Linked DNA regions of Kluyveromyces lactis. The protein of the gene in region 1 purifies or fractionates together with the protein of each later gene. This does not show direct contact. Links are inferred from orthologs where the notes say so. Each region holds a gene or a part of one and is shown in the gene's direction. Other genes may lie near its edges.

What was found.
Region 2: the proteins of RPF2 (region 1) and MRT4 purify together in Saccharomyces cerevisiae (affinity purification with mass spectrometry; 3 studies listed by BioGRID, with this or other methods). This does not show direct contact. The link is inferred for Kluyveromyces lactis from reciprocal best matches to the Saccharomyces cerevisiae genes RPF2 and MRT4.
Region 3: the proteins of RPF2 (region 1) and CGR1 purify together in Saccharomyces cerevisiae (affinity purification with mass spectrometry; 4 studies listed by BioGRID). This does not show direct contact. The link is inferred for Kluyveromyces lactis from reciprocal best matches to the Saccharomyces cerevisiae genes RPF2 and CGR1.

The regions. Positions count from the first base shown.
Region 1 is NC_006037.1:703,935-709,728, forward strand, and holds RPF2 (rRNA-binding ribosome biosynthesis protein RPF2), read left to right. Parts: upstream 1-2,354; coding exon 2,355-3,389; downstream 3,390-5,794. Other genes in the region: NUP133 (Nup133p), read right to left, coding at 1-1,919; MTD1 (methylenetetrahydrofolate dehydrogenase (NAD(+))), read right to left, coding at 3,527-4,507; GTPase-activating protein GYP1, read left to right, coding at 5,337-5,794. UniProt on the Saccharomyces cerevisiae protein: Required for biogenesis of the 60S ribosomal subunit.
Region 2 is NC_006038.1:1,183,380-1,188,804, reverse strand, and holds MRT4 (mRNA turnover protein MRT4), read left to right. Parts: upstream 1-3,279; coding exon 3,280-3,996; downstream 3,997-5,425. Other genes in the region: putative ubiquitin-protein ligase UFD4, read right to left, coding at 1-2,378; SHU1 (Shu1p), read right to left, coding at 4,090-4,605; MRP4 (mitochondrial 37S ribosomal protein uS2m), read left to right, coding at 4,983-5,425. UniProt on the Saccharomyces cerevisiae protein: Component of the ribosome assembly machinery. Nuclear paralog of the ribosomal protein P0, it binds pre-60S subunits at an early stage of assembly in the nucleolus, and is replaced by P0 in cytoplasmic pre-60S subunits and mature 80S ribosomes.
Region 3 is NC_006041.1:949,200-954,271, reverse strand, and holds CGR1 (Cgr1p), read left to right. Parts: upstream 1-3,277; coding exon 3,278-3,643; downstream 3,644-5,072. Other genes in the region: GPC1 (glycerophosphocholine acyltransferase), read left to right, coding at 1-188; CCM1 (Ccm1p), read right to left, coding at 376-2,937; KLLA0_E10737g (inositol oxygenase), read left to right, coding at 4,088-5,044. UniProt on the Saccharomyces cerevisiae protein: Involved in nucleolar integrity and required for processing of the pre-rRNA for the 60S ribosome subunit.

The DNA.
Region 1 (5,794 bases):
TTTATAAGCTTTGCGATCTGAGATTTTAACATAGTTTCATTTGTGGATTTCATTAGGTCTTTCAAATGCTTCAAAAAGGCGCCCAATAATTCTGGAATCTTAACAATGCCGTCTGAGATAAAATCAGAATCCGATTGATAGGAACTTTCTGATAGTACTGTCTTCCAAGCTTGTGAAATAGATGTTGGTTGTTGCGGTAGTAAAGAGTACAAGCTTTCCAAACATTTTATCATTTCAAAATCAGAAATCAAGTCCAGTTTGAATTGGGAAGATGTTTGATCCAAAAAATTATGAGCAACAAATGTGAGAAGTCTTTCAAAAAGTTCGCTTCTTATTTTTAAGTGTTTCATGGGGTTGTTAGCAACAGGCGGTATGTGGTTTGATAATGCATATTTAATCTCATCACTGGACATTTGAATATCTGTTTCAATTTCTTGTGGTTGTAGATCTAGATTGTCAGGTAAGTTGAAGTCTAGTAATGAATCCGTTGATTGTCCTCCAAAATAGACGTATTGATCCACATGAGACTTTATGAATCTAATTTCTTGGAAGTCAGAGTTTTCGTATTTTTCAAAAGTCTCCAACTTTAACGCACATGTTCTTCCATCAGTAATGTATAAGGAACTTGAATTACAATCGTACCCAAGAACTTTCATATCTTTGTTAAACCGTATAATGTCCTCCCATTTCCTTTTAAATGGATAATTAGAGTCCAATTTGGAACTTGTTTGAGTTAGGACAGCAGCATCAGAGAATAAAGTGTAAACAGACGTTATCGGTAAATGTTCCTTGGTGTATGCAGTTGGGACTATAAGTCTTGGGGCAAATTCATCTGATAATGGTCGCGTGTATGTGTTTAATCTGTAAGTAGAGAAGATAGCGAAACTGTTAGTATCTTCATCCACAATGATGGTTGATAGTAAATAGTGCGTTTCGTTACTTTCCGCTAAGAAACTCAAGAACAAGTATGCATCCGAGTCTCCTGATAAAGGATGACAATCGAGTAGTTTCAGTGTAGATGTTGCCAAGGGGAAATGCTCTAAGACTGCCTGTGAAATTTCAGACTGTACATTTAAATCGATCTTTTTGTAACAATTCCCAACAGATGAAAGGTTCCACACCTGATATCGCCCGCCCTGGGTTAAAATAGAAACTATTCTTTCTCCTTTACCGCTGATTTCGCCCAATTTGAGAGATACCACTCTCTTTGATTTGGACATGGATGAAAAGATTCCGACTTGACATTTTATTATGGTTTGTTTTAGCGATACAAAAGGTTTCCCGTTAGCATCTCTTATAGTACAAAACTCAACACGCCCGTAATTTGTCGAAAGTAATATTCCAGCTGGTTCTGCATTAATCAAATTCTCTACATATTCACCGTCACGTAGTTTTAAAACTGATTTATGACGTTTGGTTTGCGTCAAGAAACTTGCCACTTGACTCACAGTATCAACATCTTCATAGAATTGAATGTCACCGGATCTACTGTTCACTAAAAATAAGCCAGGGCTTGATTTCAAGTCACGTTCGAGCACACTAGGCCACGTAAAGCAACATAATGGAGGACGGGACCATGATTCATATTCCTCGTCATGTAATGGAATCCTTACAAAACTAGGGTGTGTTTCAGAAGATAAAAATGGCCAAACGTAAACATTATCAGTATCGCAGCATAAGGCGTACCCAGATTTTGCATCAACGCTACAACATAATTCCACATTACTGGGCAAAAAACTTAAACTTGGCGCTAACTTCGATACCTTATACTTCCCATTCTCTGTGATAACTTGTTCATTCGAAAATTGTACATTGGTGACAGCAGAACCAGTTGTCGTTTCCTCAGCAGAGATTACTGAATCCTCTGGTGCTGCTGCTGGTACACTAAGCTCTTTCCTGAGCTGAAACAATTGCTTCATCTTGTACTATCTTGACACTGAAAAAAAAAGCCAAAAGAATCACCAAATGTAAAACTTTGAAATTCTAATCTCAATTGATCCACTACCTTGTTAGCCGAACCTAGCTTGACCTTGCATTGCTGTAATTATAAAGGTAAATAGACTCTCTGATGCTCATTGTTTAAAATCTTGGTCAATGTTTCTGTTTTCATTGTCGCCAAAGAAATCGTCATAAGTGATGTCACGTGAAACATTTTCCGCCACGTGACTTTGGAATAGTTTCTTTTCACTTATCAAGTAACTTGGAAAATTAAATCTTTAAACTGGAACAAATCGATGCGATGAGCTAAATGCGATGAGCTAAGTTACAGTCTACATAGTTCATCTTTTGGCTCAGATTTCTATCCTATAAGGTGTAATTGTTGTGATTTGTATCAAGACACCGTAAACACCAGGATGATCAGAACAGTAAAGCCTAAGAATGCCCGTGCTAAAAGGGCTTTGGATAAAAAAGAAGCAAAATTGGTTGAGAATGTAAAGCAAGCTTTATTCATTCCTGGTCAAACTTCTACCAAGTTGTTGCATGATTCAATGGTTGATTTGAGTGCGTTGAAGAAGCCTGATATCAAGAGATTCTCCAAGAAGAACAACATCAGACCTTTTGAAGATTATGAACCATTAGAGTTTTTATCTGAAAAGAATGATACATCGCTTATGGTGTTGAGCACACATTCTAAGAAGAGAAGAAACAATTTGACTTTTATTCGTACGTTTGGGTATAAGATCTATGATATTATCGAGTTGCAGATTGCAGAAAACTATAAACTTTTGTCTGATTTCAGAAAACAAACTTTTAACGTTGGGTTAAAGCCAATGTTCAGTTTCCAAGGTGCAGCCTTTGAACAACATCCAGTTTACCAGCATATCAAATCATTGTTCCTTGACTTTTTCAGAGGTCAGAATACCACTTTGCAAGATGTTGCAGGTTTGCAACATATCATTTCTATCACTGTCCAAGGTGATTTCCAAGACGGTGAACCATTACCAAATGTTCTATTCAGAGTGTATCACTTGAAGACTTACAAGTCCGAACAAGGTGGTAAGAAGTTACCTAGAGTGGAATTGGAAGAGATTGGTCCAAGATTCGATTTCAAGATCGGAAGAATTCACACTCCATCTCCAGAAATGGTCAAGGAAGCCCATAAGAAACCTAGACAATTGGAAGTCAGAGTTGCTAAGAACGTTGAGATCGATACTATGGGTGATAAGATCGGTAGAGTGCATGTGGGTAAGCAAGATTTGGGTCAATTGCAAACTAGAAAGATGAAGGGTTTGAAGGCTAAATACGATCAAGTGGATTCGGATATGGAAGAGTACCTAGAAGAAGTTGAAGGCGATCTTGATCAAGAAAATGTCGATGACACTTACGGTGAAGAATTCGTAACGGCAACAGATATCGATGCTCCACCTGCTAAGAAGCAAAAGAAATAAATTCCATTGACAATAAAAACTGACTGTATAATATAATTCATATACATATCTAATCATATACATACACATTCGCATATATATGAGATAAAGGTGAAATAGAGTATAATTCTTTTTTTTTTTTTGATCGATCCACTGCCTTAATTCGTGGAGGCTGAACGGTTTTGCAATTTTTGTTTGTTCTCTACTAATCTGAGCATGTTTCTCAACAGCATGGAGATGGTTACTTTACCGGTGCTTGGAACGTATAGCGATGCTTTTGATTTCACAGACTCATCGAAATTCTTCTCTGAGGAAAAATTGATACAGATAGCGCCTTCTTTAATGTAATCAGTAGGGAACTTGTATTTTTCACCAGGAACACCTGTTATTATCACGTCAGCATCTTTACAGCATTCCTTCAATAGCTCCTCTGAATATGCACCCAAGTCTTCTACATGATGTTTCGTAAACTTCAAACCTTGCCCACGTGTGAACTTCTGAATGTTGTTGATATCAACAGAAAACACATCAGCACCATCATTTGCTAACAGAGCAGCTAGAGGTCTACCAACAATTTCAGATCTATTCACTACAACACATTTCTTCCCATAGAGTCTGTTCCCTTCTGGTAACAAATTGTTATAAACTTTCAAATACTCCAAGATTTTCACTACAGCTAATGGAGTGCATGGTAGTATCGATTTCAACTGTTTCTGATCATCCAAATATCTAATGTTATGGTACATATTCTGATAATAAACGTGATTCAACCCTTCTACATCTTTTTCCCTTGATACCACTTGTTGCAAATACTGATCTTGTGCGTTTCCGAACACAGGGAAATAGATCATGATACCATCAACGGAATCATCTTGGTTAGCATCGATGATAGCTTCTTCCAAGAAGTCTCTATCTTCAATTCTTCTCAACTCGTAACGGAACCCCATAGACTCGCAAGTCTTTTGAGTCCAGGAAGCGTACATCTCTGCAGCTGGATCATTATTGGCCAAAAACCCAACTAATAACGGACCATCTGGTCTAATATTCCTGAGACTTTCCACCTTTCCAGTAATTTCTTGAACGTAAGTTTTAGAAATAGAAGACGCTAATATGGTACGGCCTGGCTTTTCTGTAGACATGGTAATTTTAACTGCTTTGCGGCGGGTGAGAGGGGGTAGATGTGGTTTGTCTGTTTGTACCTTAAAATATGAGTTGACAAAAATAAATAATGTCGGTTCTCGAATGAAATATCCTGATATGTAGTGATTGATTCAGTATTTGTACACTCTTAAACCAGAACCGATCTAATACAGATTCAAATATACGTTTTTATATATATATGTATATATGGTATATCTATCTTTCATCTAAATCTACTCATCTCATCTCATTCTATCATAATTAAGTGATAATAATAATTGATATTCCAATGGCTCGAATGAGCGCCCTATAGTAACTGTCAATCAGAGTCAAAAAAAAAATGATTGGAACAATATAAAAAAAAGGAATTTCAATCACGTGATTTAAAATCAGGGCATGTGATAGTCACGTTATCTATTTTATATCCGGGTAATGGATGTTTTGGAATTTCGATGGAATCACCGTTTATAGGATATATTGGATTCGAAGCATGCAAAGCTAAGGAAGAGGAAAGTCAAAAGGAAATGGAAAGGAAATTGGAGCGCTACATAGGGTTTACTTGTATGACACAGTTAGGTTATATGGATGTCTAGTATTGTCATTAATCAAGGCATATCGTATAAATTTTCTGGTAAAAAATTGGGTGACATTTCATACATTTGTTGGTGTATTTTAGGGAGATCATTCACTAGATAAGTATAACAAGGTGTCTTAGGCCCTGATCATAGTTTAAAGAAGAAATAGAGGGCATTTTTTCCAAGTGTAATAGGGTAGAGTCTTTATATTTTCTTTTCTATCTGTTTTTTTTTCCCATTGTTTTGCTTGCCAATGGCTATCCGTTCTTCGTCTAGTAGTAGGATAGATCAATCTCCTAGGGAGATGTTTCAAAGGTCTAATTCGAATACTTCATCATCACCTAATATTGTTGGATCGTTGCTAAAATCATGGAAGAAATCTACGGATTCATTTACTGATTCAAAGAAGCATTCTTCTAGGAATTCACCGTCAGCACGTCACATGTCTCCATTGAGAGCTCCGTCTCATAACGGGTCTCAGACCCATTTGCATCACCATAATCATCATTTACACCATACTACAAGGGATAAATATTTCAAGGACCTAGATGAGGATTGGAGTGCAGTGATAGATGATTATAATATGCCGATACCGATGATTAATAACGGTGGTATAGAAACCACTCTGCGGCCTCCAGCTGTGATACAGGACGATCGAGCCATTGAATCACAGAAATCCTCAATGGATTCTTATCAAGGAACTATCCCAAA
Region 2 (5,425 bases), on another chromosome or scaffold:
TCCTCGAACACTTTCAGAAAAGTCCTCTTGGAGAATGATTGTTTCGTTGAATCAGTTTCAAAGATATTAGCCATAGAATCAATGAGACCAGTGGAAATGAGCTCGAAGCCAGATATGTTGGACATATCATCAAATAATGAGGATTTTACAGCAGTCCAGAAATCCATCCAATATTGTTCGGAATCAGATTGAACATCCAGTTCCTTCATCTTAGTGACAACAGCATTAATTTCAGAAAGCTCGCTGGAGACTTCTTCTTGGTTAGATGAAAACAACTCTAGTAGTGTAGCACTAAACATGGAAACATGTTTTATTAGGTAATAAGGAGTCAAATGATCGTAGATATTAATGCGGATTTTTCTCGGTTTGACAAATTCAGGTATGTTCATGTCGTCGTACTCCATCCTGTAACTGTCTTTTTCTTCATCATCATCTTCATCTTCAATGTCAGAATCAGATCCAAAAACAGGATGAGAATCAGAGTTTTCCGGACGTATATGATATCCTGACTTCTCGGCTTCATCTGATGACGATTCCTGTTTATCAATACTATCTTTCTTGCTGAGCTCATAACTGTAGTGAGAATTCAAAGAGGTTAAAGCATCTGGTATACCTTCTTTTCTTAGTTTCGGTAGATACAAATCCGGATTATTAGACATCATGATAGAAATTAACGAAAGCAGTGCTACTAGTACTGCACTGGTCTCAGTCTTCATATGATCTTGTTGCGCATTTGAACCATTGATGAGACCAGAGGATATTATGTTAATAACGGACGAACTAGGAATATCGTAGCCATGAGGTATAGACGTGAACACCCTAGCCAATGCAACAAGAACTGTATATCTAATCTTAGTATCCACTGTATTGGAATATATTTCCACCAAACAAGGAATCAACTCATTGACTAGTTCAAGGAATTTATCCTCATTTCCGTCAAATGTGAAAACTTTGACCTCATCGGCTGTCAAGATTTGAGAATCTTCAGTTGGGAGCAAAAGTAAGAGGAAAGTTGTTACCGACAACAAAAGCTCTTTAGGAACATAAATCAAAGTTTCACTGAAGGTGGAAGATGCTGATTTCTTATAAGACTGGAAAACGTTTTGAATAACTTTGTTCAACTCACAATCCAATAGGATTTGTTTTGACAATTCAACATTGGTGGAGACCAAGAGTGATGAAATATCCAAGACTTTCAAAACAGATTCACGTTCAATCTCTGAAGAAGATAACAACGACAATAACCTTTTAACCAACTCGAAGTCAAAGAGTTTAGATAATGATTTCTTGTTCAAAGATCCTGAAATGCTGTAAAGTGTTATGAGAACTGGCTTCAAAATTACTGGATTTGTACTATTTAGGAAGATAGATTTCAAGATGGGGAAAATCTCTGATACCACCTCGAAGTCACTTTCCTTAGCCCTAGCACATGAGTTCGCAACGATAGATAATGATTTTTTCTGCGCATGGACGGTAAAGAAATCCAAATATTGCAAACAAGAGAGAAGGGTACCGCTTCTTAAAATCTTAGATCCATGTACCCTTGAAATGAACTCTAAACACTCCAAAACTTGTTCTGCCAAATCGATATAGCTTATCTCATTCAATTTCCCTCTCAATATCTCAATAATATCTCTATTAACCGAAACCTCTATCATTTCTGGGTTCATCTCATAGTAGTTATAGAGACACCTACAAGCAATTAATTGTAACTCCAACTCTGCTTGTAATAATGGGCTAGACAATACATGGATCAAAGCGTCCATTAACTTGCCAGATGGGATGATTCGATCAGCGATCAAAGGGTTTAACATCAATAGCTGTTCAGATAATTCCCGGAGAGATTCCATAGCAATATACGGATCGTCTTCAGCTTGAAGCACATTCTCAATCAATTTCAAATACCGAGAATTTCCTCTGCTAACACCGAAAAACCCTTCAGACCTTCCTAGTTCTTGCAACAGATCTGGCAATGAACGTCCAAATGCACGCTCCGAATCAGCTTCCTCGCCTTCAGCAACATCACCATCCCCACTTTCACCAGATCTTTGATCCGCTAGACGAGAAACAATATCTTGTAGAAACGAAATCCTGTCCGCACGGTCCCCAGAACGGCTTTCATGATAAACATTCCCTATCTCACCTTCTACTTCCTCATCGTCTTGATCTTCATCTTGATCTTCGTCCAACTGCTCTCCTTGCGATCCATCTTCTTCCCCGTCTTCGTCTTCATCATCATCATCATCGTGATGGACAAACTCTAAATCATCTTCATCCTCTGGATAAGAATATTCGCCAGATTCAACATCATCACTTTCATGGCTACCGTTCGCATCTTCATATATGATATAGTCGCCATCGCCATCGTAATAACTCATCTTTTCAAAACCCTTTCCTGTTTCAAATCACAAATAAGAGGCAAAATTACTATCTAAAATTTCTAGTTCACAACCCGGTATCTCTTACCACCTTAATAATTGGTATCTTAGAGGTTGTTAGACTTTGGCAAGCAATACAAGAGGTATGTTTAACTCGCCGGCTGTTCATATCAAACCAACTAGTTTGTTTCCTGCTAAATATGTACTGAGATTGCAATTTCCTGACTCTGAACTTTTAAGGTACATTTTGGTCCGGTACACTGCGGTTTTATCTGAGGAAAATATACACAATACCCGTCGCCACAAGTAATGAGTCACGTGACTAAGTTTACTTCCCCATTTACAATACATCTCCGGTAATAGGTTAAATCATTACCACTATATCTACTTGCCCGATACACGATCATGCCCTATCTGTGCCTTTCTAGTCTTGATATTTGTGTTGAATTGAGATCTATTGTCTCATTGGCAATGAGTGAGAGACTCAGAAATCAGTCAAGGGAATTCATACCGGAGTTTGGTTTTGCAGTTCCTTAGAATAAACCTCTCTAACCGAGCTTATGAGAATGGCCCTAGAGCATTGCAAAAGAGCCGGTATATGTCTTACCGATTCACTTTGTGTCAGAGGTCGTTACTTTCCGTTTGGAAAAATCAAATCACGTGACTCACAACTAGAAAGAAAAAGAAAGGCGCAAATTTTTCAGTTTGAGAAAGCTCATCTCATCGCATCTACTCGATGGACCTTTCATAGTTTAAACTGATCAACAGTACTAATCGCTATATTCTATCAGTTGTATTCCTCTTTATTTATCTCTCTTCTGTAATTGAATAGTGTTCTGATAATTGTTTACTTTTCGTTACTCTTTATCATCAAGCTACTACATATACCAACCCAGATACGATGCCAAGATCTAAGCGTTCAAAGTTGGTTACATTGGCCCAAACCGATAAGAAGGGTAGAGAGAACAAGGAAAGGATATTCGATGAAGTTAGAGAAGCCTTGGATTCTTTCAGATACGCTTGGGTTTTACATTTGGAAGATGTGAGAACTCCAGTTTTGCAAGAGATTAGAAGTTCTTGGGTTGGATCCAAGTTAATCATGGGTAAGAGGAAGGTGTTGGTGAAAGCGTTAGGTGAAAAGCCAGAGGAAGAGTACAAGGAGAACTTGGCCAAACTATGTAAGCACTGTTCTGGTGTTACTGGTCTATTATTTACCAACGAACCTGTCGATGTAGTGGAAGATTACTTCAAGGCATATGTGAGAGCTGATTTCTCCAGACCAAAATCAAAGGCTCCATTGTCTTTTACCATTCCAGCCGGTATTGTATACTCTCGTGGTGGTCAAATCCCAGAAGAAGAAGATGTGCCTATGATACATTCTCTGGAACCAACTCTAAGAAACAAGTTCAAGATTCCAACCAAAATTAAGAATGGTAAGATTACCATCGAATCTCCATACTTGGTCTGTGAAAAGGGCAAAACTCTAGATGTTACTCAAGCATTGATCTTGAAACAATTTGGTATAGCAGCTGCTGAATTCAGGGTGAAGGTTGCCGCATACTACGATAACGAAACTTCTAGTGTGGAACAGATCAATATCAACATGGATTCGAAATAAATCCAAAAATAAGAAAGCATTGCAGTGATAAACTATAAATATATATATATAATCATAACCTATATATTTCTCCTTTGTACATTAATCTCTTCTCTAGGAATCCTTTATCGAATACACGTACTGCCAATATTCGGTCAGATTCTTCCAACCTTGAGACATCATTCCCAGATCTGTCGCTGACACCATTCTGATACGCACAGCGTACTGATTTTCCAGTCGAAGCGATCCATGAAGGATGAGGTTACAATGTCGCAGCTGGGAGATTGACAGATCAAGAGTTTTCTGTGTCTCTTCTGATTCCAATTGTTCTTTCGTCATTAACAGGGACTCTAAACCGTAGATGATAATTTCTTCATAGCACATCGATGTGTTTCCTTTATTCTGGAGCTCAATCTCGACATATGTCAAGTACATATATAAATACTGTAATTTATCAAGGAACAGAATCCGCACGTTGGATCGTCCCCTGACTATATCATCAATACTGTTAAAGAAATGCGTCTTGTTTTCCCGTAGATCTTGCTCGAAGAAACTTCGAGCCTTAACGCCAACTGCTATAACTAGAACTTTCTTGTTACGGTCCAATACATCACGCAGTACATCTTCCATCGGTTTATAAGGATGAAAAATAATCTTAACCAATGCTATCCTACTAGGAAATACCTTATCCTAATAAATTAATTTCACGCTTGTAAGCCGGTACATTAATTGTTTCAGATGCGTAATAGCCTTGACGGTTTGAAATGTTGATACTTAGACCACATAAAACACGTGATATTTAATTACTGAGAATATATCAAAGTATCAACTCGTATACAATGATCTGGAAAATTTTATTGAATTGGTGAATTGGACAGTTGGTTATCGTAGCGTTTGGTATATTAAATTACGATGATTTGAAGAAGGTAAAAGGTAAAGGAAGTGATTTAGTCGACATTTTGAGTGTTACCTTCACCTTATAGTGAGAACTGTATCATTTGTCCGGAATGTCTGTTAGATACTGCACCAAAAATTTGGTGGGGAGGGCGCCATTTGCCTTAAGATCAGGTGCAGTGAGACTGCAAAGTTCTTCATCAAAGGCTAGTTCCAGCGATGAGTCCAATGCTATAAAAGGCGAGAATGGTGAAGAATTACAATCTGTGGATGTAGCAGCGGCTCGTCAATCGGAATTTAACGGGAGTATATCTCAGCTTTTACATCAGGCAATGAACACACCAATAGAAGAGTTAGGAGATCTGGAAACCAAGTTGAAGTCGCCATTGACTGAGAAAGAACAACAATTGGATGAGAAATTGACTGCATTTTTGAGGAAGTACTCGAAATATAACAAAGTTTTAGATCTACCAGAGGATACCAACAAGTTCGACTTTAGTTCAAAAGTTTTGTCCCAACCATTACATACTAGAGAGTTCCCATATTTGTCGCACAC
Region 3 (5,072 bases), on another chromosome or scaffold:
TCGATTATTACGGTAAGAAGTTTGAGAAAGAGGTTGACAAATTGAGAATTCAAGTAGAAACGTTGGAGAAACAATTGAGCAATAAAGGCTCTAGCTCCTCAGTAGCACTGGATGAATCGGATTCCGCCAGTATTGCTTCGAATCAAAGCGATGAGTTAACATGGGAGATGAAAATTCCAACCACCTAATATCAAAGGTTAGATTCACCAATATATTAATGTCGTTTCCTTAATCTATCTATTAAATATTTACAAGAGAATTTTTAAATGATAATAAACACTACAATTTATTTACAGGTTTCTTGGTTGTGAGCTGTTATCATTACTGTAATTCTCATTATTTTCATAGCATCCATTCTTTCGTGATGTCATAATATCAAAGGTCTAATGACTTGATCTCTTCCTCCAATTCAACTATCTTTGATTTCCGATTCACCACACTCAGAAGTCTTGCAGCGGAGTTCTCATCTTCAATAGCTAGCAACGCTCTGTGTAGGGACTTAACCATAGAATACTGCCAGTTTACCGTCTTTAAAGATGACAAAATGATACTCAATGCGTCTTGATACATCTTTTCATTCGTGAAGTATTCGACCATTAGTTGAGCGAAAGTTGCGTCACTTTGTTGTCTTTCACCTGGTGTTAATTTCTGGAAAGCGTCAGTCATTCTGAATTTACCTCTGTTCTTCCATGTTGTCATAGCAAGTTCGTAATCATGGAACGCTATGGCTGCTTTCATCGACACTTCGTAGATAGCACAATTAGTGGCTAGTTTGTGTTTCATAGAAACCAAGTATAGAAGGAATTCTGAGGGTATAATACCGTTATCAACCAAGGCATTGCTGTCGGTTGTGTTAAAATCTTTTGAGAGTACAGGTGATTCCAGTTCGTTCGTTTTTGATTTTTTGAATTGATATTCCACCCTTTCGTTGAATTCGAACGCTTGGAATGTGAATTCCTGTAACCTCAATTTGAACTCATTGGGTTCATGAAGCCTAATAGGTATCGTGAGGAAAGTTATCAAAGATTTCATATTGAGAATCTTGTGATTGACATATCTGTTTTTCCATTCCAATAAACGCTGCGAAATCTGCAGCTTGAATTCATTAACAGTTTTTGCACATTTGACAATATTCTCTATATCTTTCACTGTCTGCATACCTTCTGGTAATTCTCTAATGTCATAATTTCCGCCAAACTCTAAATTAAATCTCCATAAGGCTTTTGATTCATTTATAGTTAATTCTGCATCATTAAGCTCAGTCATAGGAAGCATAGGTAATTGAATATTTGAATTCTCATAGGAGGAATCTCGTCCCGAATAGTCAACTGAATAAATCATGCTACGTCTCAAGCTTGAACCTTCTGGATATCCTAATAATACTGGTAGTCGAGACTTTTTGAATTTAGAGTACGATAACATTAGCCAGTTAAACATTTGTGCGGAAAGAGATTTCTTCCAAATGCGAATATAATCAACTGGATCGGTATCTTTGTGATACTTTTTGAATTCATAGAAGTGTGCTTTGAACAATGCGTTCGTATATTTATAGTACAACGCACGAGCAAATCCGACGTCACCATCATAAGCTGATAAAACCATCATTGTCTCTAGCAGCAGCATGTTGTTGCGTGGATTTTCGGTTAGCTGTTTGGATAATTTAGGATCATCATGAATCTTATGGATGTACTTCCAACTCATTAACCTTAATGAATCTGCTTTACCTTCACTTGTTACGTTGTCAGCACTTGACAATGCTAAGGATTTAGCTGCGTTAAGATAAGTCTTTAGGTCCTTTGTGACGTTCAAATCGTCCATTTCTTGGAAAATATCTAATGATCTTGCGTAATTCTTCTCCTTTTGACACACTTCGAGCATCAAGTTGTAGACCTTAGTATCTGGTTTGTGTTCTAGGGACAAAAATTTAAGAGAGTCAAAGAGTTGCCAAGCTTTCTTATAGTGTTCCATCTTGGTATAGAAAGAAATGACTGTCGTATAGTTCTTTCTGTTAGGTTGCATATCATACGTCGAGGTGAATTTCTTTAAAAAAAAGTCCATATACTCCCAGCTCATGGCTTTTGAAGCTGCAAATATACAAGCATTTAGCATATACTGTGTTGGCTGGAAACTTTTCTTCGATAATGTAGCATCCATTCTCTCTGTTAACTCTCGAAGTTTACCACATACTTCCAATTTGCCCTGTGCTGATGGTGATGTAACCCGAGAAAAAGACAACATGAGATGCTCGTATAAGTTACCATTTAACCGCGAGGAGTCATTCCCAACGCTTTCCATTATCATCTCATCCAATTGGGATAAGCTCGTAAAGGAAAGTTTATCGAATTTCGAAAGAATCTTGGAATAAATAAATTGGATTCCTAAACCCTTTAGTCTCTGTTCTGAATGGTATAGTTCTGTTACTATCGGATTAAAATCCCTATTCCTCTTATCAAACAAACACCTCAAAATGAGGTCCTTGTCCTTTATCCTCTCTGATAATCGCTCGGGTAGTAACGATGTATCAGCTTTATCTGATAACAAAAGAGTTGAAAGATTCTGTTCTGCCCCAGGGCCCGCTACCTTATCGTTCAATGAACTTAAAATAACTCCAGCATCGCTGTCAAAATCATGCATCTCGGGATCTACCGATTTTGTCTCCTCCTCTTCTATAACATGCTTACGCTTTAGCTCATCAGTGTACTTGATCTGTTCTCGAAGATTTCTGGTGAACTCTTTCAACTGATTAACCTTGAACTGAACTTCCTTCTCATTAGTGAAATCGATTGAATCCAAATCTAACACATCTTTCGTATCAGTGACAGATCTCGCCCGTCTCTTACGAGATCTAACATCTCTGCTAGCTGGCATGATCACACTCCTTCGCGCATTTCGTACCAGTGTTGACGAAGTCTTACCATTCTTTCCAAGTGAAAGCATTCCCTCTTACAGTGGTTTCCAAAAGATCAAAAGAGCACCTTTTATATGTTCCTTACACTATAATTCAATTAATCGATGATCTAGCGACAGATAACACCGATTGAACTTTTGAACTAATACTTTCATGGTAAGTTCATCTCATCTCATCTCATTTCTAACTAGAAATTTTTCAATCTTTAATGTTAAAGATTTCTTTTTCATTATTATGTGATAGTGAAAAATTAGAGAGACAATGAGATGAGATGAGATGAGATGAGAGAAACACATACAAAGGTTGTAACAAAGTGGTCGTGACTGGAGTAACCATTACTGTAGTAATCGCGAAAGTGTACGAATTATCATGTCAGACAATACAGCAGAACAGCAGGATATACAGATCAAGGGTAAGCCCGTTAGTGGCCGCACCTGGAAGGTAGAGAAAGAACCTTTGAGGGCTAAGAACAGAGTCGTGAAGAATAAGAAGTTGACCTCATGGGAATTGAAGAAACAAAAGAGACTAGAAGATCAGCAGTTCAAGGAAAAGGTACGTGCTTTGAAGGAGGAGAAGAAAGCCGAGAAAGACGCTGTTATTCAAGCTTTGAAGGAAAGAAGAGCAAAGAAGGAAGAACAAGAAAGGTACGATAGATTGGCTGCCAAGATGCACGCTAAGAAGGTCGATAGACTAAGAAGAAGAGAAAAGAGAAATAAGGCTTTGAAAGAGCGTTGAGACATAAAGTCATAAATACTGTATAATAGAATAAAGACATATCTGCATTAACGATTTAGGCTTGTTCCGTCCTCCGCAATTGTATATACTGACGATGAAAAAGTATGTGGGAAATTGACAAAAATTAAAACCAATTTGCTGCTTCTGTGGATCGAACACAGGACCTTATGAACTTCAGTCATACGCTCTCCCAACTGAGCTAAAGCAGCCAAATTAATTACAAGAACCAGTTTTCTTTCGCTCACCTTGCACTAAAATTACTGTTATGGATATTTCTCAATGATTTTCTAATGATGGATGTGAGTGTCAACTTAACGATAGAACAGGATTAAGTTTATAGTGTATGAGATACGTCTCGGTACGCTCTGATATTTCGAACGGTGAATTTATTAGTGCTCTGTTAAAAGGGATCTTTTGCTCAGTGCCGTTGAAATAATTGAAACAATGTCAAAGGATTTGGGAGAGATTATCCATTCGGATAAAGGCCATTTACTGGAGCTTATAGATGAGGATGTTCAGTCAATCAACGTAATTAAAACCAAGCTTCGAGAGCAATCCAAGGACCCCGTACCGTCTAAAAAGAGGAAAATGAACGATTCGACTAGTGTCCTAGATGGAATAAATGAGGAAGATTTCAGGCAATATAACCAGGCTAAAGATAGAGTGCGAGAATTCTACAAAGAACAGCATGAGAAACAGACGATGGCGTACAATTTACAGGCAAGAATTAATTTCAAGACTAAAGTGCGAGCCAGAATGACTGTTTGGGATGCTTTATGCCAATTAAGTAAACTCATAGATGAATCGGACCCAGACACAGAACTCTCCCAAATAGATCACGCATTACAAACGGCTGAAGCGATAAGAAATGACGGTAAACCTAGATGGATGCAGCTCGTTGGGTTAATACATGATTTAGGTAAGATCCTATACTTCTTTGAGAGTGAAGGGCAGTGGGATGTTGTCGGAGACACTTTCCCCATTGGTTGTGGTTTCGTGAAGGAAAACATCTTTCCTGAGTTCTTTCAAGGTAATCCCGATAATTCGCATCCAATATATTCAACTAAACTAGGAATATATGAAGAAAACAGTGGCCTAAAATCGGTGATGATTTCGTGGGGGCATGATGAATATATGTATTATATCGCAAAGAATCAATCAACTCTGAATGAGAAGGCTTTGGCTATGATTAGATATCATTCCTTCTATCCATGGCATCGAGAAGGCGCATATCGATATTTGATGTCAGAAAGCGATTATGAAATCTTGGAAGCTGTACAGGATTTTAATCAATATGATCTCTATTCCAAGGGATTACAAAAACATAACCGCGATGAATTAAAACCGTATTACCTTGAATTGATCGATGAGTTCTTTCCTCAAAAACTGGTTGAATTCTAATAACGGACTCGAGACAAGATAACTTACC